4 linked regions of the Callithrix jacchus genome follow. The protein of the gene in region 4 purifies or fractionates together with the protein of the main gene of each other region. This does not show direct contact. Links are inferred from orthologs where the notes say so. Each region holds a gene or a part of one and is shown on either strand. Other genes may lie near its edges.

Region 1 (5,600 bases), on a different chromosome or scaffold from region 4:
ACCATTATTTTTTTTTAAATCATATGTTGTATCAATCCACTAGAAACAGGTGTTAAAAAACAAAAGCAAACACACAGCTTTTGTGAAGATACTTATTAGGGCCCCTAGCAGTATCAATCCCAGATCCCAGCCTTGCCCCCATCCTCCTCCCCACAACACCCTTCCCCACTTCCCTCCACTCCACCTCCACCCCTGGCCTATCCTCCCATCATAATCTACCCTTTTCTATCATGAAGCCACATTTAAGGAAAAAAAAAAAAAAACCTGAGAGAAGCTTTGACCAAGAGGCAGTCCTCATGACTACAATGCATTATTTGTAATCACGAGAAATCAACAATCCTTATCATGTAAGTTAAAATATCAACAGAATGTGCAAACTGCAACATATGCACTGAGATCATGCAAATCACCAAGACAAAGGTAACTACACCTTGGAAAGTCTGTTGACACAAGGAAACTTCCGCTGAGACTGTTCTTTGCCCCAGAGTGGCACCCGAAACTATTTCCCCTGCGCTCTGAGTATATTTACTGTTTCACACATGGCTGCTCATCCAATCTCAGTATGTGGCATGGTATTTTAGAAACCCTTGGCATTCCTAGAAGCTGCTGTCTATAAATATGACCGCATAACAAACAATTGAAATAAAAACAGGGCAACCTCAAGGCTCAATTCATGAACATATGCAAGGGTTAGATGAAAGTTCTTACTTACCCAATGAGATTTTTCTACCAAATTCTGCCTTCCCTTCATATTGCCTTATAATTACGGAAGACTCAGGAATACTAAATTCTGGACACAATATCTCTGAAGTGGGTATAGAATAATATTAGGGAAAGCAAACGTAAAAGGAGTTCTAAGGAGCATATGCTAAATCTGAGCAATAACAGCTTCCCAAAAACATGGCTTCAACAACATGGCAGTTCCTTAAGCAACCTGGAAACTACTTGTGTGATTCAGACCTACGAGAGAAAAGCTCTGACTGAGACACTATTAGGTTATCTAGCGAATACATGATAGCATTCTGTGTTTGTTTTTTGGTTTTTTTAGGTTCGGGGACAAGGGAAGAAGGTGGATGAAGGTGAGGTGAACAATGATGAAAGAGAAAGGCTGAGGCCAGCGGGGCAGAGCGGGCCTGCACACTGCTGAAGACCAAATCAGAGCAAGGCCCAGGCACTGGCATTTTTACAGTGCTCTTGGAAAGATACACTTTTCTGAGAACTGGGCTAATGAAATAGATTTATTAGTTCAAGCCACAATTAACATTTAAAAAAATTTTTTTAAAGGCCCTCCTTTTTCTGAGAAAAATAAATAAGACAAAAAGTCACCCAACATACATATTTGGATTTGCTAAATTTCAGTCAAGATCACTCCAAATAAGAGTTTGTGGGGCAAAATTTAAACAAACAACAAAGGGAAAGTGAGGAGAGTGAGAACAGAGGGGTGAATGACCAGGAGAGTAACCTGTTTGCAAGTTTCCTTTTGGAATGAAATCCAACTAGCTAGCTAGATAAGAAGAGTATACACTGATAGTGCTATGCCAGGCCTACCTAGATAGTTAGATATAATTGCTTGAATTCACCTGCAAAATAACTGTAGTCTGTGACTTTGCTCAAGGTGGAGTTCACAGGGCCAGAGTCCAAATAACTCGGCTAAAAAAACAAGATTTAAGCAGGGGGAGGTAGGGGAGTCCATGGCTCATGTTCTTGTTTCCCATTTGTTCCAGTCCAATAAAATCTAACTATGCCACTGAAATGAAAATCAAACAACCCCTGTCTGTAATAAGAATGAATTTAACTTACTCAAAACCAGAAAAGGGAGGAGGGAGGGGGGAAATAATGCAACATGCCTTTAGAAATATAGAATTTATTTACAGTCACAAGAAGACAGTTTCACGTTCTGTATACAGTTACCAGAACAGATATAATACTCTCAGGAGTTTACAGCGGCATCATATTGCTGTCAAACATTGCTTATGCTGTGTGAGTTGGGAAAAACTTATTTCCCCCTCTAAAAAAAAAAATTAAGGCTCAGTTTCCAAAAGGTAATTATAACATCAGTCATTTTTTCTGTTGAAGAGACTGGGAAAATTTGGGAATAAACCACAAACGGGTGGAGGGTGAGGGGCAGCTCCACACACTCTCATTCATTCATACTTAAGATACTCGATGTGATTTTTTTTTTAAGGCTCTTTCTATCTGAAAATGTGTTTGGTTACAAAAACAAACAAATCAGTATATGGGAGAGAACTAGGTACAGATCTACAGCATTCAAACGAGGAAAAGTAAGCGCTTTGTTGTCAGTTGCTGGCTAAAATGTGTCTATGAGCTGCCTACATATAAATGCACACACACATTAATTTTGACTCACTTTTCTTTGGCAACGCTTACTGAATAGTATTCTCTTCCAACACGCTTATAACACTAATTTACACTTCCTTTTGACTTTCGGAGCAGGTGGCCACAGAGTTATCCCTTTTCCTAAATATAATCCTCCATTTTTCCTTTCTGCCTGACAGTAAGTAGACCATAACCATAATGGTCATCTTGCACTGATGTGTAATCTCACCAGTTAAGTGACTGAGGAAAGTGGCAAGGCTAAGTAGAGAAAGAAAGTTTGGGCATTTTTTGAGAATTACCCTATCGATGAGTTCCAAACACACCTTACACACACTTTTTCCTGTACAAATATTTCATTCAGTCAACAGTGACGCTATGATTTTATAAAAGCAGAATCTGTTTTAACTCAGTAAACCACCTTATAATCCATGGGGCTAATGTTATAACAATAACAAAAGTCAAAAAGGGCACCTGTAGGTTCTGCCTCTGGCATAAAGAGGTAGAGACAATCATTCTGTAGAAAAGATTAACAATAATAAAAACAAAACAATAAAACAAAACAAAAAAATAAAGCCATTCCATTTCTAACGGCTAGTTCTAGAAAGCCAGGTATATCTACAGGCTGTCATCCGTCCACTCAGTTGAGAGATCCATTGCCCACAATCATCTTGCTATAATTTTTCTGCTGCTCTTCCTTGAAGGTGTCCTTCACCTTTGCTCTCTTTAGCCCTCCATCCCTGCAAACAGAAAGACAAATACATAAAAGATACTTTACAGCGGTGATTTCAAAGAGTTAACCTAATAGTCACATGCAGCATGATGCCATGACACTGAAGCAGCTGGGATGAAATAAGAGAAAGAATACTGGATTTGGAAACAGGAAGACCCAGGTTTCAGTCTCTGCCCTACCACTTGCTAAACGTACATTAAAGGAACAATCTCTCTGATGTTTGGTTAAAATAAGTAACAATATCTCCAACTCAGTTTCTCTTCAGAAGTTAAGGGGTGCTGTATTAAATATTTGGATTGGCCAGGCGCAGTGGCTCACATCTGTAATCCTAGCACTTTGGGAGGCCAAGGTGGGTGAATTGCCTGAGATCAGGAGTTCAAGACCAGCCTGGCCAATATGGTGAAACCTCATCTCTACTAAAAATACAGAATTAGCTGGGCATAGTGGCACATGCTTGTAATCCCAGCTACTTGGGAGGCTGAGGCAGGAGAATTGCTTGAACCTGGGAGGCAGAAGTTACAATGAGCCAAAACCACGTCATTGCACTACAGCCTGGGCAACAACAGTGAAACTCCATCTCAAAAAATATATATGTATATATTTGGATTGAAACAAAGATTATTAAAATGGATTATTTCTCTATTTTGTTCCCTCAGGAAAACAAAATACTGGTATTTATCTACCTATGTCTTACTGGAAAACCATAGGAAAACTGAAAATATATGCAGAAGAAATGGTAAGGGTACTGTATATGTGTGGGTAAATTTCTTAAAGATAAATAATCATTTTTAAAAAATCATTTTTCTAATCTAACCTTATCTATGTTTAACAAGTTGTATTTTCATTCAAAACATATTTCCAGTATCTATAATCTTTTATATTCCATAAACAGACTCAGAATAAAACAAACAACAAAATCATAAATTGCATTCAATGAGAAGTGCGTGCCTATGTAAGCAGTATTCCTTCATTCAGAGCCTGTATATCTTTGAACTCTCTCCAGAGTAGGAAAACACATGCCTGCCTGGGTATAAGAACTCTGTATGCTTTTCCTTCTTTGGATTACACCCCAAGAAATAACAAACTGGAGTTGCTGGGAGTAGACTGGACTATCAGAGGTCACTATCTGCCTATTAATCTAATGTTTTAGATTTTAACTCCAAGGAGAGCATGAGCTGAGAACTTGCTTACTTTATACTGTGACTGTTTAATTTTAACCCAGTCAAGCATGCATGTTTACCAAATGCTTTCTGATGATGATGGATGATCATAGGTTAGCCAGTGAACTCAATGACATGAGGACAGAACTTGACCTCCATAGAGACACCTGCCTGAGACCACTGCAATGTTCTGGCTTCTAGAGTCAAATCTGAGACACAGCAATCAGTCCTCAACTTAAAAATGGACTGTGATCCACAGATAATCCAGGGGGTCAGTTGTGGAAGGTTTTCAAGAAACAAGATTATAAATTGTTGTTAGGTCCACAGAATTGTCCACATAAGCCTCTTTTATCCAAATGAGCTTCTTCTATTAACAGCACTTACCTGAATTCTGAACAGTGAGAACTAAGGAAAGGAGGGAGAGATAAGAAAGGCTTTTCTCCTTTCACGAGATCCAAGCCCAAAACAGGCAAAAATTTAAGTCTTGAGCGATCTGACACCATTTTTAAACTTTTTTTTTACATTTTTGTACAGTTTGTACAGTTCCCAAGCACCCAGTAAACCTCATGCTGTGCTAATCACCTAAACTGTGACTTGCTACCCCTAGAGACTTGAAAGTTTTACCCAACTCCCCTTTGCAATGGCAGTAGATCTTAGTTCTTAAGGAAGGCAGTAACCATATATAAGAGCCAGCTTAAGATCATAAAATTATATTTTCGCTCAATCTATGAAAAAAGCAATCTAGATATGTTAATTCATATCCAATAAGTACATGACAAATATATCTAGAAGGGCCATGAGGCCACTTTCTTTTTTTTTTAAGAGGCTAGGTAATTAAAAGTGATTTTTATTGTACAATTGCTTATGGCCTGATAAAAGGAAAGTGGCAATTCTGAGGATCATTTTATTCAGCCAATCTGATGGAAAGTCTGTACTTGGCTGACTCCTCTAGGTTTTTTGTCTCTCAAAGCTTTTTTCCCTTCCTCTGTGTCTGAGACTACAGACACTGACTTCAGAGTAGGAGCAGGAAATCTGGGTGTCAGGTAAGATAAAGGGTGAGTAAAGAGTTTTTGAAAAATGAATAAGGAAAAGGAACCCATTGCACTTAAAACTGTAGGTTGCTAGGACATTTGTGGACCAAGGTAGTTTTATATAGTTTTATGATGTTATGATGTCTGTCATTTTGTTTAATATATTCCAGTGTAGATAGTGTGATACAAATGTTTAGTCTTAACCTATACCTTAAGGCTAGTCAGTTTCATACTCCAAGGTGTATGGAATTCAAGTCATAGACCTTGTTGGTCAAGAATTCATACTCCACAGTAGTCAGCCAGCATTTAATCAGAAGGCTGCCTTTCACAGGTGCCACGAAT
Region 2 (6,379 bases), on a different chromosome or scaffold from region 4:
AGAAGCCTGCCAGGCGTATTTTGAAAGATTTAAAAAAATAACAAAGATACAGGTGTCCTCAACATTCCCGCAGAGCAGCCTGAAGCAGGGACGGTTTAACAACACGGTGACACGCGTGGCTCTTCCCATCTACAAATGGTAGCCTGCAGGAGCCTGTGCCTTCGTCACTCTGGTTTGAAGGCCTGCTATCGTGACTGTGCAGTTCAAATGGCCCCTGCATAGGTACAGCCCAAACTCTGCCCGTCGGAGTTAAGCACCGTTTTATTTTTTTGAGACAGGGTCTCACTTTGTCACCCAGGTTGGAGTGCAGTGGTATGACGTGGCTCACTGCAGCCTCAACCTCCCAGGCTCAGGTGATCCTCCCCCGTCAGTCTCCCAAGTAGCTGGGACTGCCGCATGTCCCGCCATCCCTGGCTAACCTTTTATATATATATTTTTTTGTGGAGATGGGATTTTGCCATGCTGCCCAAGCGTGGTCTCGTCCATTTTCAGTTAGACTGCACAGCAGAGTGACTTTTCAACTTACAAACACAAGTAACAAAACCCTGCCCCAGGTACACGTGGCACTCTTGTGCCCATCTATTGACCCCAACAAGCTCAAAAACCTTTCTTGTTACAGTGTAGTCACCAACAAATATTGAAAGTTGGCCCACAAGACGAAACTGGTTTATTCTCCTAAGGAGCGCTCCCAGCCCTATTCATATTAGATTCCAGGCCATGTAAATTATAAACCCCCTTAACAGTCTCAGGAGAGACCATAAAATTTTAGGCACAGGATGTCACATGTAACCCATGAGGCACAAGAGAATCAGAATGGGAGCCAGCAGTTCACACATCTCCAGGGACAAGTCCCAGAAGCAAAACACAGAAGAGCTGGCTTAGGCTAAAAACCAGCGGCTCTCCGCTCCCCAGGATCAAAGCTATCCTCTCCTCAAATCACTCACGGAGTCTTTCTATGTGCTTTCCCCAGCGGCCCGAGATTCAGGTCAAACCACCACCCATTTGTTCATAACCTAGGCTGAGCGGGGGAGGAGACTGTGTGCACCACTCCCCTGCCTTCTGAGGGACTTCAAGCAGTAAAACCTTTCCAGAATAGGAAGGAGGTGGGCTATCCCACAGTTGGCAGTTCTGCAAAACATGTTTTGTGGGGGCCTGGGACTAGATATGAGACAAAAAAGAGTTTCAGGCTCCAAGAAGTTTGGCAATGCTGGGTTAATGGAAGGGTAAATGAATGCAGGACTTCTCAGAGCCTTTCACACAGCAGCGCTGCAGAGCTCCAGAGCTCACAGCTTTTGGCTTTGTTTGTACGCCTTGCAGAACCTCTCAATAGTCTGTGCGCCTCCAGGGACGTCACATGCAAATGACTAGCTAGCAAAATATGCAGACTGCTCACCTCACTCGCAACGGAGGGCAGGCACTTGGCTATCGAAGCTTTCGGTCCCCCAAATGCTCTCATCTCTCCTGTAAGGCTACAGAAACAGACCAATGGAAACACAGTAAACCCTGTAGAGACGGGAAAGCGGGTGCAGTAAAGAAGCAGAAGAAACGGAAATAAATGTTAACGTTTTTCCTTGTCTAGTATCAATCTGAACACTTGATCCTCATCCACTTGGCCAGCTGAAAGCACTCTTAAAGGGCAAGAGACATTGATACCTGCTCCCAGAGCTGTCTGCAGGAAGACGTGTTAGACTGGGAATGAAGATGAAGCACATCCTGAGGTTTTCTGATCTCTGCCTTCAGCTGATTCACGCCTTCCTTGGCCCATGCTTAAAACGCACCACACTCCTAACCTCCCACAGTTCTGCGCATTTCTCATCCGCTCGGGCAGCCCAGAGCCCTCCTAAAGGGCAAGCGACACAGATACTAGCTCTAGGAGTCAGTGCACCCTAAAAGGGACGCCATCAGGGTATGAACAGCTCAGAGTCGAGGAGCCCTGACGCCCTGAGGAGCCTGGAGGGTATTTCATCTAACCCTGTGGCCAAGGGGGATGAACGAGGAAACAGGTCTATTTTTTCAAGAATTTGCCCAGCAGCGTGAAACTACTTAGCAGCAGAAAACTGGGGCGAGACCTGGCGTGGGAGTTGGGGGGAGACCTCCACTGCCTTCTCAGGGGTCCACACAGTGCCTCAAGATAAAGTCAGAGAACAATCACAAATTCTGTAGCGATCACTTTTTCTTTGCTGAGAAATAAACAGATTTGGGGAGCTGAGTACATCAGTAATACAAGATAGTGAGATCAGAAAAAAAGAAAGAAAGAAAGCCAAAGGAAAAGAATGCACCAATTACAGAGTAACATTTATAAAGAGCTTCACACCTATTTTCACTCTTGGTTGCCTGTAACCTTTTAGAATTCAAGGTTTCCAATGAGGAAAGCTGGAATTATTCAGAAGCAACGTTCACCTGCTATGGAGAATGGCGCCCTGCTGGGAAGTTGCCACAGCTCACGTGACGGTCCAGGGAGCTGCGTGGCCCCCGTCACTGACTCACTCCCTCACCCACCCACCCACCCACGCTCCTGGGAGTCTCTGTGCTCTCACTCATAAAACAAACACACCTGACTTTGCTGGTGATTCCCAGATGTGGCTGATGCCCAGAATTCCAAGAACCAGTTAAAATACAGTTTCTGGGCTGTATTTTAACGGCCCATCCCTGCTCCTCGTGGTTCTGGATTCCATAATTCTGAGGGGGCTCAGGAATCAGTATTCTTAAAAGCTGAGCCAGGTCTGGGGAGGCTTGGACTAGGTGATCTAAGATATATAGCCCTTTGAGGCCGCAAGCTTCACTACAAAAAATTCTGAGTAACCCAAGTGCCAGCTACTCTCAGGGGGACGGTGAGCAAGGACCCAACGAGGAATGGCAACATGGGACAAAGACCTGCAAAGGTACAAGGGGGTTACTCACTGCCTGGGCCCAGGGTTAGTTATTCGAGCAAGATTATGTGAAGTTATAGATAGTATTTAATTGGTTACTGTGATATCATAGAAATACCAAGAATCATAAAAGTAAAAAAAGCTGCTAAGTTGTACGTAATGTTTCCGGAATTCTAAGAAGTCGCTGCTGGTCTACAGGGGCCTGGGAGGTGACGACGGGGTCACTGGCCCCGATCCTGGGGCCTCTTGCCTTTGCCTTTTTTCTTCTTGTCCTCCGGCCGCGGCTCTAGGGCGCAGACACAGGCGGATCCGCCGGCGATGGCCTTGGGCAGGTCGACGCCCCTGCTCCACTTGTCAGCCTCGCGGTCGTACACCTGCACGGTCTTGGAGAAGGCAGTGTTCTCCCAGCTGTAGCCGCCCAGGATGTAGATGCGGCCCTCCCACACTGCCACGCCCGACTCGCTGTTGGCGTGCAGCAGCGGTGCCACGCGGGTCCACTGGTTGCACTGCGGGCTGTAGGCCTCCACGCCCAGCACGTCGAAGCGTTCCATGGACTCGATGTTGTCGTCACTGCCCCCGATGGAATAGATGCTGTCGCCCAGGCTGCACATGCTGTGCCAGCCACGTGCCGTGGTCATGGGCCGCCGCTCCTCCCACACGTCCGTCCGGTGGTCGTAGCACAGCAGGTTCTTGCGGTAGGGGCCGATTTGGTAGTCGTGGCCCCCTGAGATGTACACAAAGTCTTTGTAGATGGTGCCTGCGTGGCCGTATGTGAACCTGGAGAGTCGATGGGCACAGAGAGAGAGAGAGAGGGAGAGCTCAGGGCTGTGCCAGGCTTACCCTCCCTGAGCCTGGGAACGGCCTGCCATCTTAGGGGGCCATGAGAATTTAAGAATACTGGGAGTGGGTACCCCATGAATACTTCCTAGACAGCAGCTGTCATTAGCCAAGAAATGGCAGGTAAGGGCAGGGAAGGAGACAGCTTTGCAGTCAGGCCACCTGGGCCAGAACCCAGCTCCACCCTCTCTGAGTCTCCCTCACCCCATCTGGGAAATGGGGATAGTCACAGGACCACCACCCACTTCACAATGGCTGGAAATGATGAGGACAACGTGCTAGCAGGCCCACAGGCACCCGATGAATCACACATCAGAGAGGGAATCTGACATACGGCATAATTCTAACTGTGCTGGCGCTCGGGAAAAGTTTCGCCTAAACCATAGAGACAGCAAAATCAGTGGCTGCCAGGGGCTGTGGGGAGAGGGAAGGTAGGCTTGGATGCGGATTGCACGGGGGGCGTTTAGGGCAGTGAAATGATTCTCCATGATGGTATAATGGTGGATTCATGTTGCTCTGCGTTCCTCAAAACCCACAAAACTGTGCCAGGAAGTGGGAACCATCATGCAAACCAGTGAGTAAGAATGGATCAATAAGGCCAGATGCAGGGGCTCACGCCCGTCATCCCAGCACTTTAGGAGGCCAAGGTGGGCAGATCACTTGAGGTCAGGAGTTTGAGACCAGCCTGACAAACATGGTGAAACCCCGTCTCTACTAAAAATACAAAAATTAGCTGGGCATGGTCGTGTGCACCTGTAGGCCCAGCTACTCGAGAGGCAGAGGCAGGAGAATGGCTTGAGCCTGAAAGGCGGAGACTGCAGTGAGCAGAGATCGTGCCACTGCATTCTGGCCTGGATGACAGAGTGAGACTCCATCTCAAAAAATAGAAAAACAAAAACGTGAGCGCTTACCCCGCACACCTCTACCTCTTGGGATGTATTCCACAGCAAAGACTGGTTCAAAAAGCCCGCTGCTGGGTACGGCAACAGGGAGCTGGTGGGAAAAATGGTGTGCAGCTTTTGCTAATCCCACGACAATAACAAATGCTCGATACGTGCACATCTGGACCAAGGGAGACTGGGAGGGCGAGGGTCGCCCTGGGGCACTCCCTGCATGTGGGTGCAGGTTCACCAGCGGCACCGCATCTGCTCTGCACGGCAGTGCTGCGAAGCGGGCACGATGATCACCTCGCTCTACAGATGAGGAACTGAAGACCCACGCTTGCATTTCAGACCTAGCACAGATACCGCCATCTCTTTGAGTTCCTCCTGGGCAACCTCAGGGAGATCCTCAGGTCAGTCCCTCACCCTCTGAAAGTCGGTGAAGGTACAGACTCAGGCCACGGAGAAATGCATGTCTGTCGTGGTGGCAGAGCTGACCCTTGCCCTGAGTCTGAAACCGGAGCCTGGACTGCGCACCACCATGCCCTCTGCCCCTCCTCATGTACCTGCTGCTACCCACAAGCTGGAAGATTTCTTTCCTGGAACTGGAGGCCAACCTGCCCAGAATGTGAGGCACGTGGACTGAACTATGTCCCTAAAACCATCCCGCTTGGAGAGCCTTCCCCCAAGCCCCAGATCACCTTGGCAAGCCGGCCACATAGGACCAGGAGTCAGTCTTGGGACTGTACGTCTCTACTGAAGACAGTGCTCCGTTCTCATTCCGGCCACCGACGGCCACAAGCATGTCTTCGATGGAGGCAAGGTAGAAATCCACGCGGCGCTGGTTCATGAAGGCCACCTGTGGAAGTGAGACACCTGTACCTTCCCTTCCCCGAACACAAAACAGCATCAACATCTGGAGCTGCATTTCCCAAATGTGTCTGCGGAACACACAGCCCCGGAGGGTGAGATGGCAGCCAGGTGAGTTTGGCAAAGGGAAATGCACCTGAAGAAAAGGCCTTTTTCAGGTGGCCCCTCTGAGCCCCTGAGGTTGCCCTGAGACACCCTGAATCTAAAAGGGGGATGGAGATGCTCTGGATCTCCAAAACTTGTCTGGTCACGTGATCCGCCTTGTGGATGGGAACTCTGTGGGTCACGGGGTTCAGAACGGCTGATCTAGTGGTTTTCTGAAATAAAAATTCATCCTTCGCTTCCTGAATCAGATTTTTAAAATTAGTCCTGACCGCCAAAGCAGAGCAGGACATGGCATTCCACAGGAGATTAAACAGAAGAGGCCAGGCACGGTGGCTCACACCTGTAATCCCAGCACTTCGGGAGGGTAAGGTGAGCGGATCTTATAGGTCAGGAGTTTGAGGCCAGCCTGGACAACATGGTGAAACCCCGTCTCTACTAAAAATACAAAAATTAGCTAGGTGGGCACCTGTAATCTCAGCTACTCGGGAGGTCGAGATACCAGAATTGTCTGAAGCTGGGAGGTGGAGGCTGCAGTAAGCTGAGATTGTGCCACTGCACTCCAGCCTGTGCAACGGAACAACCGGGTCTCAAAAAAAAAAGAAAGAAAGAAAAAAGAAAAAGAAAGTAGAAGAGTCAACTTTTTTATTTTTTTGAGACTGAGTCTCGCTGTCTCCCAGGCTGGAGTGTGGCATAGGGTGGCACAGTCTCGGCTCACTGCAAGTTCAAGCAACTCTCCTGCCTCAGGCTCCTGAGTAGCTGGGATTACAGGTGTGCACTATGCCCAGCTATTTTTTTTATTTTTTAAAAATTTTTAAA
Region 3 (6,379 bases), on a different chromosome or scaffold from region 4:
CTTTATACCACATCTCCTCAGTGCAGTGATAGCCCCAGGCAAGTTTTAAGAGATTCTTGTCTCCAGCTCCCATTGTACTGCATCAATAACTTTATTATATCAATTATCTCAGCTTCTTTCCACTAAAATGAATGTTTTCTTAAAGGAAGAGGACACATCTTTTGAGCTTTGTATCCTCAGTGCCTAGTGAATAGTTAGGCGCTCAATAAGTAACTTTTCAATAAATTAACAAATTAGGGTGATACAAAAAAGTACTTAGAAAGAAGGGTTTGGGGAAGGGATGAATATGATAATTCATATAAATAGCATTAGAAAAAGGTATTCATAGCCATTAGGAGTTTGAGACTAAAGGAAAAAGGTAAAGTCAAAAATGACCCTTAGGTTTCAAGCTCTACTGCCAAACGGCAGTAATATTGACCAAAACAGGAGAATGAGGGTGAAGCTGGTCTGGGAGCTGAATACCCTATGCCTGCACGGTAGGATGTTGAAGTCAGGAGGTCAGGGTTGGAAACATGGTTGAAGTCATATGCAGGTGGCTCTCAGAAGCAGAGTGAGCATATGGCAATGCAGGGTAAGAAAAGGCAATGAAAGAGGGTTCATGACAGAGCTTAGGAGGACTCTGACTCTTCGGAGATTGGGAAGAGGGCCTAAGGGAGACAGAAACAGCAGTAGAAGAGGACAAAAAGAGAGCCAAGAAGATGTGAACAGCATAGAAGGCAGGAGTTCCAAGAAAGTGGGAGGATTAACGGAGCCAAATGTTCTACCAAAATAAAAGGTATAGAGACTAAGAAAAGGACAGAGAATATTTATTGAGGTCATCAAATACTTTTGAGAAGAAATTTCAGACATGTAGTAGGAAAAGAAGGAGATAAAGTTAACAAGGTCTACAGAAATGAAGACGGCATATGTACAACAATTCCGGTAAGTCTGTGCAAAGTGGGCACAAAGCTAAAAGAGACTTTTTCTCTTAGGAGTGTGAGATCTAGCCTTCATTTTTCCACTAAGTAACCATGTGCTCTTGAATAAGCTGAGCCAGAAGGTGGCAGCAGCAGAGAGAGAGGCACACACAGGAAGCAAGGGAATAGATAAACCAAGAAAGGGCTTACATGAGGTGGGAGGAGATAGAATCAGTGCACAGCCAGGAAAATGGTCCTAGAAACAAAATGAAAGGTCATGTTTTCCCTCTGAAATGAGGGACAAAGGAAAGAGAACCTGAAAATGACATTAGATGACTGCAGGCTTTCTAAGTAAAGGGTAAGCTCGCCTTAGATCTGGAGGCAAAAAAAGCTGGATGAGGCAATTCTGAGAACAGGATGAGTCCTAAAGCAGTTGCTGCAAAAATTCCATAGGAGCTTAACAAGGAAGAATAAACAGCTGCCCAACAACAAGCGCTAATATCATCACAGTGAGTATGGTGCCAGGTTGAAGCCCTGAACTTGACAGGGGGAGAAGGAATTTTTTAAAAAAGAATTGGTAGGAACAAGATAGACTGCATCCTTTTAATCAAATTTCTAAAGTAGAGCAAGACACCTAAAGGTAGCCAACCAGCCAAACATGAACAAAGCATCTCACACAGTAACTACAGGTCTCAAAGTGTCTTTCAGTTAACGCGCACATCTGAACATCCAAAGTGTCCATTTCATGCTTACTTGGAGTATTCTAGTAGCTTTTTGCTTGTAGTCAATTAATTCCTGCTTAGAGGACTCCAAGTTCAACTTATATAGCTTGACTTGCTGCTGCAGTTCCTCAACTCTCTTCTTCTCATCTGAATATTTTCTTTCTGCCAGCGTAATTGCTTCTGCTAAATTCTGACGTTCCACTTCCACTTTATTAAGGCGCGCAGCAAACTCACTCTGTGACAAATTTTTATATTGTAATCATTGAGCTTTGAAACATATTTTACAACCATACATTCAGATATCTTAAGGCATTTATCAGCTAAGCCCAACAACATAATAGGGAGGGGAAAAAATTCTTAATTTGTTAGGAGCTAAAGAATAGGAAATCTAAGGTTGTGGCTCCCAAACACGGCAATGCATCAAAATCAAGTAGGAAGTTTGTTAAAAATACAGCCATCCAAGGCCTTTCCCAAGCTTACTAAATTGGAATATTCAAGATTGGCTTGGGAATCCGTTTATTAAGAAATTTCAAAAAAAAAAGAAATTTCCCAGGTGAATATGGTCTCTTGGATACTAGGTCTGCTCTGATACTAGCTGATCAACTGCTTCCAATTTAATAAGTAAATAAATAAGTGTAAATTACACCACATTTTAAATAATCAGTATCCAAAAAAATAATGTAAAATATCTCATTAACAACTTTTCATTTGACTACACGTTGAAATGATAACTACTTTGGATACACTGTGTTAGATAAAATACATCATTAAAATTAAGAAACACACACTACCTGATATTTACTGTCAGGACTGAACTACTTTCACCTGTTGAAAAGCTAGCCCAGACCAGTGGTTTGCAACCCTGACTGCTCATTAGAGACACCTGTGAATCTTGTAAAACCAAAGTGCCAATACCTAGGCCCTACCTCATACAATGGAATGTGACTATTTGCATATGAAGACCAGGCAGTACCACACGGGTGATTCCCATGTGTAGACAGGGCTGAGACTGAACTAGATGCAAAAATTCATCTAAAAGTAAAACTCTTTACATATTACATATAATTTTCTCTTGAAATAAATGAGCCAGATTAATCTGGAATCAGAAAAAGCTTAAATTAATAAAAACCAAATACGGTCCCCCAACCATTAGCATTTAATCAAATAATGGCAATGACTGTTGCAAAAATTAAGTGAAAGATGTATATCTCTAATGCATATTAACTATTTTAATTGTCTCTCAACACATAAAATTAAATAAACTTAGCAAGGATCAAGCTAAATTTTCAAATATCTGATTTTTGTCATGGAAACAAAATTTTCTGACATGTATTGCAGAACTGTATGAAGGAGTTAATGTGCTATGAAACAGCATAAAGTCATTTCTTCCTTGTACAAATAACAATAGGAATCCCTTATCGCCCATTCTAACCTGCATCTGTTTATAGCTCTCCTGCTCTCTCTTCAGAGTGGCATCGGCTTCATGCAGTCTCTCCTGAAGAGTTTGCAGAGCTTGATTCTGCAAGTTATTACCTTCACTTTGATCCTGTATTATTCTAAAGGAAAATGCATCCACGTGAAAAAAAAACATGTCTACAGTGTACAAGTGATAAGGCAGAATAATTTTTAGAGCATTACCTCATTAGTCAAGCACAAAAAAGATGATGTGACTGAAACATTCTTAGACAAATCTTTCCTTTCTAATGGAATGTAATCTATATTTTTAGGCACCCAAATATACGTACACACAGTATAATAAAAAATGGCCACGCATGGTGGCTCATGCCTGTAATCCCAGCACTTTGGGAGGCCAAGATGGGCAGATCGCCTTAAGTCAGGAGCTTGAGACCAGCCTGGCCAACATGGTGAAACCCCATCTCTTAAAAAAAAAAAAAAATTAAAAATAAAATAAAATAAGATTAATGACAATACAAATGCATTTAAATTCAGAATTTGCTAACAATGCATCTCAAGGTTCAACAATGAATCCATTTTGATCATACACATTTCTAACACTACCAAAAGAAATATTCCCCCTTGCAAATTTCCAAGAAAGCTAAGTTTTATAAGAGGAAACATTACAATGCTTACCATTACTTGCAGTGGAAACACAGAATCATTCTATCTCATTTTTTTTTTCATTATTCACAGAATCACGTACCGTGATTTTTCACTCTGTAAGGCTTCTAATGCTTCCGTGCGAGTACTCAGCAGCTGGTCAGCTTCCTGGAGTCTCACTTTCAGTACAGCCAGCTGGGAATCCTTTGCAGCCATAGCTTCAGTCAGGTCATCAACTTGGGCTTGAAGTTCTCGAGTTATTCGATCACTCTTTGAATGGTCGGTGTTCCACTTTTCAACTCTTGCTCTTGCTTTGTTTAATTCTGTAAAAAACTTAAATTTCTCTATACAAGGAAACCAAACACATTTTTCTTGGAGCACATATAGTTTCTACTATGAGTGCCATTAGTACTTTTCTTACTGCCAAAGTTAGGAGCTTACATGTATCTTCAATTTTCTTTGCCCCAGTGGGTCATCCATTTTTCAAAGCCAATATTCACACCTAGATTACAGTTAATAGATTATAAAGAGGCATGAAGCTAGCTGCTCTTCTACAATGCTGTTTATATATCATAAAGCATCTGGGAGCCAAAACTAGTATTAATAGATAGCAGAGTATGTTCTGGAAAGTTCTGCTAGTAACAGGGGAAAGAATGCAAATCTAAATCAAAGGTATATCCCAGTAAGAACAAAACAAGCAAAACAAAACCTAAAGATAAACACAGAAAAGAATCTACTTCTTTCAATTACGTTGCAAAAAGATGCTATTCTTTTGACCTAGGAAATCAATGCAAAAAGAGAAAAGTAGTACTTTATCTCAGAATCCAATGGCATTTCCACACTTTCACATACCATGTGTAATTGCAGTTAGCCACCAAAATTTTTTTAAAATATTGAATCAAACTTTATAGGGTCTCAATTTTTTTTTTTTTTCAGTGAGACAGACCTTTTTGGGGGGGGGGCGAGCGAGCGCACCTCACTCTGTTGCCTAGGCTGGAGTGCAATGGCATGATCATGACCCATGACTCACTACAACCTCCAACTCCTGGGCTCAAGCAATCCGCCCACCTCAGTCTCCAAAGCAGCTCAGACTACAGGTGCATACCAGCACACTCAGCTAATTAAAAAAAAAAATTTGTTTTTTGCAGCAAGGGGGTCTCACTCTGTTGCCCATGCTGTTAATGAACTCCTGACCTCAAGCAACTTTCTAATCTCAGCCTTCCAAAGTGCTGGGATTACAGGCGTGAGACACTGTGCCTGGCCAAACAGCTCTATTTCTATGTCTAAATTAGTCTGGGTAAAGCAAAGCTTTTTCTAAAGTCAGCCCGACTAGTGAGTCTTAAACTATCTACCTATTCTGCTCTTCTGAGCTTCTATCCATGGCTTGGCAAAACTTTTCCCACCCTCCCCCAACTCCTTTCTAATTAGCCCCAGAAACCAAGGCAGCAATTTTGTCACTTGTTTTCTTCTCAGCCACAGTCACAATAACATTTACACTTTTCTCAGTCACCACCTCAGTAATGAGATTATTTCCTTCTTAATTATCTATTTCTGAGGAACCTGAGGTTTTCTACTCCAGGGCCACCTCACTGCACATTTCTCAAGAGCACTGTACTGAATTCCATCTACATTTTATGCACCCTAGAGCAGCAATACTGCAACCCTATTAGTGCCTACTATTTTGTTCAATGGAACAGTTTCCCTTGAAAGTTCAGAATAAGTAAATGAACTAGACTACTACTACTGTTTATTCCTCTCAGTTCTTAAATGTCATGGTTCTTAAAGAATAACCAAAGAAGCCAATACTCTTATGTTTTGGGTTGGTGGGAGGATGACTGATCCCATTTCCAAATCTGGGCCCTGTATTTCTATGAAAATATCATTTTACAAGTCTCATCTAATTTCTCACAGTTTAAATGTAAACACTGCTAACAGTTTAGTTTTTTAAAAGTTAAATTCCCTAATCCTGCACAATTTAAATAAGCCTCTACCTTCTTGAGTTTCTTTGGATCTTTGAAGTAACGAGGCCATTTCTTGATTTAAAGACTGAACTTCATTCCTCAGCAGCTGATTCTCCAGTCGAAGGTTAGATAGTTCATGTGATTTGCCATCATCATTAGGTGCTGGGGTGTGCTCAGTGCAGGCAGCATTTGATGATGCATTTTCCTTTGAATGTTCCTCTTGACCTTCATGGCTAGAATCTGAGTTATTGGCAGCTTCTGCTAAAAAAGAACATGTTTTTGTTACATTGGCATGTTCACCACATATGCATTAATAACTTGCTTTGGTAGGATGCTCAAGTTGACTGCTATAGCTGAAATACCATAAAACGTAAACAAATTCTCAGCTCAGCATGGTGGCTCATGCCTGTCATCCCAGCGCTCTGGGAAGCCGAGGCAGGCAGATCACCTGAGGTCAGAAGTTTGAGATCAGCCTAGCCAACATGGTGAAACACCATCTCTACCAAAAATACAAAAATTAGCCAGGCATGGTGGCACTAATCTGTAGTGCCAGCTACTTGGGAGTCTGAGGCAGGAGAATTGCTTGAACCTGGGAGGCCAAAGTTGTTGCAGTGAGCCAAGATTGCACCACAGCACTCCAGCTTGGGTGACAGAGCAAGACTCAGTGTCAAAAAAAAAAAAAAAGTAAATTCTCAATAGCTTCCCTCTGATGACATTTCATTCTCATAAATGGAGCATATGG
Region 4 (6,379 bases):
CTGATCTGGAAGCCTCTATGCTATACCACCTATTACGCTTAAACGTTGTGCTTTAAAAGGATAATATCATTAGGTAAATACACTTATATTGACTCTAATACCTTTTTTCTATTATTCAGAAAGTGCTTAAATGATTCATGAATACGATTTTTATAGCCTGAGGCCGAGGACTATCTTCTGGTTGCTTAGTCAGAAGATATTCCTCCAACAGCTAGAAGACCCAATACTATACTGTATGTTGAGTACAATTTTTGGTACTATAATAACCATTCTGAAATGAAAAATCAATTTGTATTTTATAGTATGTACAGTACTACTTTCTCGTATTTCCATTTTGAAGAAAATAAATAATACTAGAAAAGATATTTTGACTTTTTTAACATACGGAAATAAGAAGGAGGAGCCATTTTTGCTAAGAACCAATTACTAAATATAAAGTCTTTTAGCATTCTCAACCAAAATAGAAGTTGTACTAAGTGGAAGTCAATCTGACTTTTCAACCAAATCAGCCATCCTTCTTAACAGTGTGGCCAATAAAATTTACAAGGTCAAAAAGTCTCAAAACCAGAATTTATCTTCTGCTTGCCTTGGCAAATGGAATGATGTGTGAGAACAAAAAGCAGGATAGTACATAGTTGCTTACAGCTGATTTGATAAATAATTCATATGTGACATTACCAGCTAGCCAAGGAGCTTTTCAGTATAGGGATGCATAGTGCATCACTGACTCTATTTATCAATCTTTATCTCTCAAGCAGATTTGCCAAATGGGCAAACCTTTTTCCAAACCTTTTGTTTTGTGCCTGTTTGTATTAAATGAAAAATATCTTAAACATATTTTGTCACCATAACATCTTAGTGTTTCATGTTTCAGTGGCCAACAAAAAATTTACATATGCATGGATTATATTGTTTGATGTAGGGTTTGTAGATTACAACTAAATTAAAAATAAACCATATTTTTATCCAGTCAATAAAACTATCACAAACTAGAATCAAATACCAAAATATTATTTATATACTTTGTGCCCTGAAATGCATGACTTATGGAATATCTCATTTTCAGCCACACTTATTTTAACAGCATATACATAGACATAAATAATATCTCATATATATAGATAATAACATTTTAACCCAATGTTAGTTAAATTCAGTTTGATTTTGGTGTACTATAAAACTATCATCATATATGAGCAATTTTCTCCTTTGTAAAGTTTTTTCCATAGACTTCTAAGATAATTTTTGCTAAGTAAGCCTTTATAATTACATTCACAAATGCAAATATTAATAGCAAGAATATCAATGATGTTATAGATAATTTTGTTTAAAATTAAAGTTGCTAATTCTTTAAAATTTTCTTTGAAACTGAACATTGTCCCAAAATATCATAGAACTGGAAATGAAATATATAAAATGCCTAAGGATGAAGAATGTCTAGCATTATATTATCTGTTTATATTCTTTCTACTGGGATCTAAATGTTCTCATCAGCATTTGACAATCATAATTATTCTTGATTACATATCTTTTTTATTTTTTGAAGAGTGAGGCAATTTAAAATTAAGAAGTAAAAAATCATGGAGAGAAAATTCTCTGTTTTCCTTCACCAGTATTGTCATCTATCAGAAGCTTTAGGTTATTCTTCAAAGGGAATAACTGACAGGCATAAATGATGCAATATTTGTTAGAAAAGTTCCAGTCAGTAATTCAGAGATGTTTATAGCTTCCAGAGAAAGAATCTGAGAATGTGTTACCCTTAAGGAATCCCTGAGTATTCACAGCAAGCCCATCTGCTCCTATGGAAACCTAATCCAAAAACATATCTGGGCTCACTTCTCACAAAGAAGTTTCCCTAGTTTTACAACGGAATTGAAAGTTTCAAAAATAATGAGACTACAGCAATAATAGGAGCTATTTGAGACACCCAGTTGCAGTTTACTACAGTAATTTATCACTTAAAAAAATAACTTACCGCCCCCATTCTTCTGACATAGGTATGGAAATCGCCACACATTTCCTAAACCTACGGAAAATCCAACTTGGGCCAGGATGTACTGTAGTTTACTGTTCCAAGCTGGTCTTTCATCTTCGACTTCAGATCCTTCTTCGACATCTGTATCTTTCTCTTCTTGGCCATCAACAATTAATTCGCTTGTCTTAAAAGCATCCTCAGCTGAGTCTTCATTGGAAAGAAGGTCTTTGACAGACTCAGTAACATCATCATCTAATTCTCTTTTTACCACCTTGCTGTTTTTAGGCATTGGAAAGTATAGGAAGTATTATCAAAGAAAAAACAAAAAACTCCTTTATGGCAAATATGTTAATTCTGTTTTTTGAAACAATGTTACTTGATATGACGACCAAGAAGGTACCAAATAAATCCTTGATTCCAGGTGATAAAGCCTTATGGATTCTGAATCCGTATGTCCAATATTCTGTAGGTATCTGTAAAATTATAAGTTGAAATATGACCGTATTTGATTATGAAAAATATTTAAAATACCAAATTATTCTTTTTTGTTCATTTTTATTATAGAAAATCTTTCTACAGAGTATAAAACATATAATTGTCTTTAGCTTTTCAGAGCTTAATATTCTTGTAAGTATAAGAATTGCAAAGCACATATGAGCTTCAAATACAATCTTCTTAGCTAACTTCCTCCTTCTTGCAAAACTCTCAGATATACTCCAATGCATAATGAATATCTGTTCATTAGTAACTAAACTTTTATGACTCTTTTTCTTAATTCTTTCTATTTTCCTCCCCAACTAAAGCAGATAGATCTTTTCCTATATATCCCTGATTTTGTTCCTTGTAGAATTGTATACCCAATTGCATAACAACTCTGTAAATTTGTTTTATATACAACCTCTTCTGTTCAAATATTCATTATTTACTCATTTGATATTAATTGTTCTTTTTACAAAATTTAATCTAGTTTATTTTAATTTTGGAGACAGGGTCTCTCTCTGTGACCCGGGCTGGAGTGCCATGGCACAATCAGAACTCACTGCAGCCTGTACCTTACCCAGAGATCCTCTTGCCTCAGTCCCACAAGTAGCTACAGGTGTGTACTACCACACCCAGCTAATTTTAGTTTTCCTTTTTTTTTTTTTTTTTTTTTGTATAGATGAGGTCTCACTATGTTGCCCAGGCAGGTCTCGAACTTACAAGCTCAAGCTAGATCCTGCCTTGGCCTCCCAAAGTGCTGGGATTATATTGCATAAGCCATCACACCCAATCCATTTGAATTTATTGTGATTGGGCTTTATGTGATACAATAATCAATGAAATGTACAGAGCATGTTTTTAAGGATCTTATATTTAATAGAAAGAAAGGTATATCAAATAGCAATACGTAATGAAGAAATTAAATGACCCAACATCATTACAACAGAAAAGATCAGGAATGTTGAATAAAATGGAGTGAGGTCATACCTAAACATAAGGAAAAGTATAAATGAGATGAGAAATGGTAAAAATGTACATTATGTATGTGATCAGTCTCTTAACAGCTCAAGAAAAACACTGCAAACACGTTGGGACTTTTTTTCCCTTTTCCTATTTGTATGTTACATCTCCTATCCTTCTCCCCACTCAGACACAGACCAAGTAAGTATACAACACATGTCTACAGACCAGCGACACTGTCTGTGTTAAAAGTGAATAAACATGTGAGTTTTCAAAGCTGGATCAGGAAGCTTCCGAAATGGTAGCCCAAGAACTCTGCCCTTTATTTCTGGAACAAAATAGAATTTCTTAAGAGAACTGCTTTTAGATTTACATTAAAAGTCAAAGAAAACAGCTTTCATATTTCAATCTATAATCTTAGTGAGAAAGACAGAATATTGGATATCCCAATAGAAAGAAAAATTTTTAACTTACTATGTAACTAATTTGTTGCCTTTAGGCTGTGATGATGTTTAGTTGTTTCTAACATTAAAATACATACCCTAAGAGCAAACACTTCTCATTTAGGATTTGGCGACAATTAAGAGAAAACTGTTTAGAAAATTGTGAAAGAGATGCATTCCCAAAATATTTTCAGTGATAGACACATCTCTAGAATAGGTGAAAAACTTCCCACAGTGATTATTTTAAACTGATGAAAACAGATAGTACACTTGATCTTAGTGAAAAGGCTGAGAAGCGATCACAGTGACTAAAGAGACCAACAAGGTTTTGATATGAAAATAATTCAGGAGATTTGGGGTTGTGTCTGTTTAATTTATATTATTTTTCCCCACAAGTCAATAAATATTAGTTGAATACGTTAATAAATATAGCCATTGAAAAACTGAAATAAGTAAATTTTCTAGATAGTATTCACTGGAAGAAAACAACCTGATATATAAAAAATTGTGATTTGTAAGACATGAATTATCCAGAAAAAAAAGGTTTACATTTATTAAACTAAAGATAAAATTTGTTGGCATAGTAACAAGTGACATACAGATAAGAGCGTGGATTTTCATCTGACAAATTTGGAGTTGTGTTCTAGCATTACAACTTATTAGTTGTGTAAAAGCTGGTAGCTATGTCTCTCTTAACTCAGTTCCCACAATAAACATTGATTTCTTCTTCCATTTGCTTTTTCCATACAGATAGAAAAGGAGTATATCCAATCTTAGAGATATTATTATAGTAAAAACACTCAACATTTTATAAAGAAAAAAATTTTTAAATAGTGTTAACCATGAATCTCCCCCCAAACTTTTAAAGAAACTACTATATTACTTCTATACATTTCTATTCTTTGCAGAAAAAATACACAAAAATATCAAAATAAAAGGTAATACCTTTGGCTACTACTGTATGTTTTTTGCATACCAAGTCACCAATCTTCACCAATTTACGTAAGATATCCTTCGGCAAAGTTTACACTTAAAAATTCTGATCAGACTACCTGAAGTTCATATTTTCTGTTTTGAAAAAATCAGCATCTAATGTAGACAAATTGTAAGTGCAATGTTATAAATACTTTGAATATATATAAATATACTATAGATATTGTATAATAACAACCCTAGCCAAACTTTATATAATATTTATTAAAAAGGGAGTTAAAATGGGCATTTGCATGCATTAAGAACTCCTTTCTAATACGAGCAAAGAAAATAATGAATACTTAACGATATTATAAATAAAATAAGCTTTCTTTTCTTATTGTCTTATTTTTCTTACTGTCTCCCACTTCTTGGTCTGTCTGGGGTGGCTGTAGGAATACAGGGGAAGTATTGTAATTAACATTAAAATGTTCACAGTAACATATAAGTCTAGGAGAAAGTAAGTCATTGCCTTGAGAATGACTTGGTTTATCTTACCTTCATATGATCAATGTTTAAACTTGTTGGTTAAATGAATGAATGAACTAAAATATTTGAAGAGTAAGATCATATAACTAAACAAGTATTTTACACTATTAGATGTTTTCATTTTTGTTTGTAGTTTAACCCCAAGACCATGAACTCATTGAACATAAGAATTCACTTCTTGGGCACACGTTTCACAGAGCCAAAAGTAAATAAATAAATTTAGTTTCTGAAGAGATTAAAACTAAATAAAGCGACAACAATTTGGAAGCCAGATCAATTTCAAATGTTTAAGACATTTTTATAAATTCCAAAACGCTGCCTAAAAACCTTCGTCTATAAATGTAGTCCATAAACACAGACTAAAAACATAATAGCAAGAGAGGTTGACAATTGCCGAAAATACTCTACCTGGGAATAGAAGAAGTGAACAGAAATGTCCAGGAAGAGAGATAGAGTGGTAAATTATCAGTGCTTGATAGGTTATATGGGCAGTAGTAGAATCAGTTTCAAGTAACAGCACAGCCTCTGCCAAGTTAGCAGCATTCATTCTTGTGACAGAGAATCAACTGAGGAACAAACTATCACCCACTACACTTCATCTGCACCGAAGAATTGTAATACTTGTCCTCATCATTATTTGGTAAAAGCCTCCTATCTTCAACTGCACAATAGAGCAGGAGACAACAATATTGCTCCTGAGCCAAATATAACCCACCATCTGTATTTTGTAAATAAAATTGTATTGGCATATATCCATGTCCATAGATTTACATATTACTGCAGCTGATTTTGCGCTACAACAATGGAGTTATTGTTAGGGACCTTAAAGCCTAACATGTTTACTAACTCTTTACTGAAAACATTTGCCAATCTGTCTTTCAGAGAACAAATCTAAGTTGAAAATGTGATTTTTGCACATTGATTTTGTATCCTGAGACTTTGCTGAAGTTGCTCATCATCTTGAGATTTTGAGCTGAGATGATGGAGTTTTCTAAATATACAATCATGTAATCTGCAAATAGAGACAATTTGACCTCCTCTTTTCCTAATTAGATATCCT

The links.
Region 1: the proteins of SLC6A15 (region 4) and GPAT3 purify together in Homo sapiens (co-immunoprecipitation; 3 studies listed by BioGRID and IntAct, counting the BioPlex papers as one, with this or other methods). This does not show direct contact. The link is inferred for Callithrix jacchus from reciprocal best matches to the Homo sapiens genes SLC6A15 and GPAT3.
Region 2: the proteins of SLC6A15 (region 4) and KLHL36 purify together in Homo sapiens (co-immunoprecipitation; 3 studies listed by BioGRID and IntAct, counting the BioPlex papers as one, with this or other methods). This does not show direct contact. The link is inferred for Callithrix jacchus from reciprocal best matches to the Homo sapiens genes SLC6A15 and KLHL36.
Region 3: the proteins of SLC6A15 (region 4) and GOLGA5 purify together in Homo sapiens (co-immunoprecipitation; 3 studies listed by BioGRID and IntAct, counting the BioPlex papers as one, with this or other methods). This does not show direct contact. The link is inferred for Callithrix jacchus from reciprocal best matches to the Homo sapiens genes SLC6A15 and GOLGA5.

What each region holds. Positions count from the first base shown.
Region 1 is NC_133504.1:114,169,516-114,175,115, forward strand, and holds the end of GPAT3 (glycerol-3-phosphate acyltransferase 3), read right to left. Parts: intron 3,075-5,600; coding exon 2,975-3,074; 3' UTR 1,849-2,974; downstream 1-1,848. UniProt on the Homo sapiens protein: Converts glycerol-3-phosphate to 1-acyl-sn-glycerol-3-phosphate (lysophosphatidic acid or LPA) by incorporating an acyl moiety at the sn-1 position of the glycerol backbone.
Region 2 is NC_133521.1:42,325,541-42,331,919, reverse strand, and holds part of KLHL36 (kelch-like protein 36), read right to left. Parts: intron 5,448-6,379; coding exon 5,290-5,447; intron 3,648-5,289; coding exon 3,092-3,647; 3' UTR 1-3,091.
Region 3 is NC_133509.1:127,641,000-127,647,378, reverse strand, and holds part of GOLGA5 (golgin subfamily A member 5), read right to left. Parts: intron 5,899-6,379; coding exon 5,668-5,898; intron 4,000-5,667; coding exon 3,780-3,999; intron 3,175-3,779; coding exon 3,051-3,174; intron 1,854-3,050; coding exon 1,650-1,853; intron 1-1,649. UniProt on the Homo sapiens protein: Involved in maintaining Golgi structure. Stimulates the formation of Golgi stacks and ribbons. Involved in intra-Golgi retrograde transport.
Region 4 is NC_133510.1:87,576,544-87,582,922, forward strand, and holds part of SLC6A15 (sodium-dependent neutral amino acid transporter B(0)AT2), read right to left. Parts: intron 4,159-6,379; exon of another isoform or gene 4,005-4,158; intron 2,449-4,004; 5' UTR 2,265-2,448; coding exon 1,976-2,264; intron 1-1,975.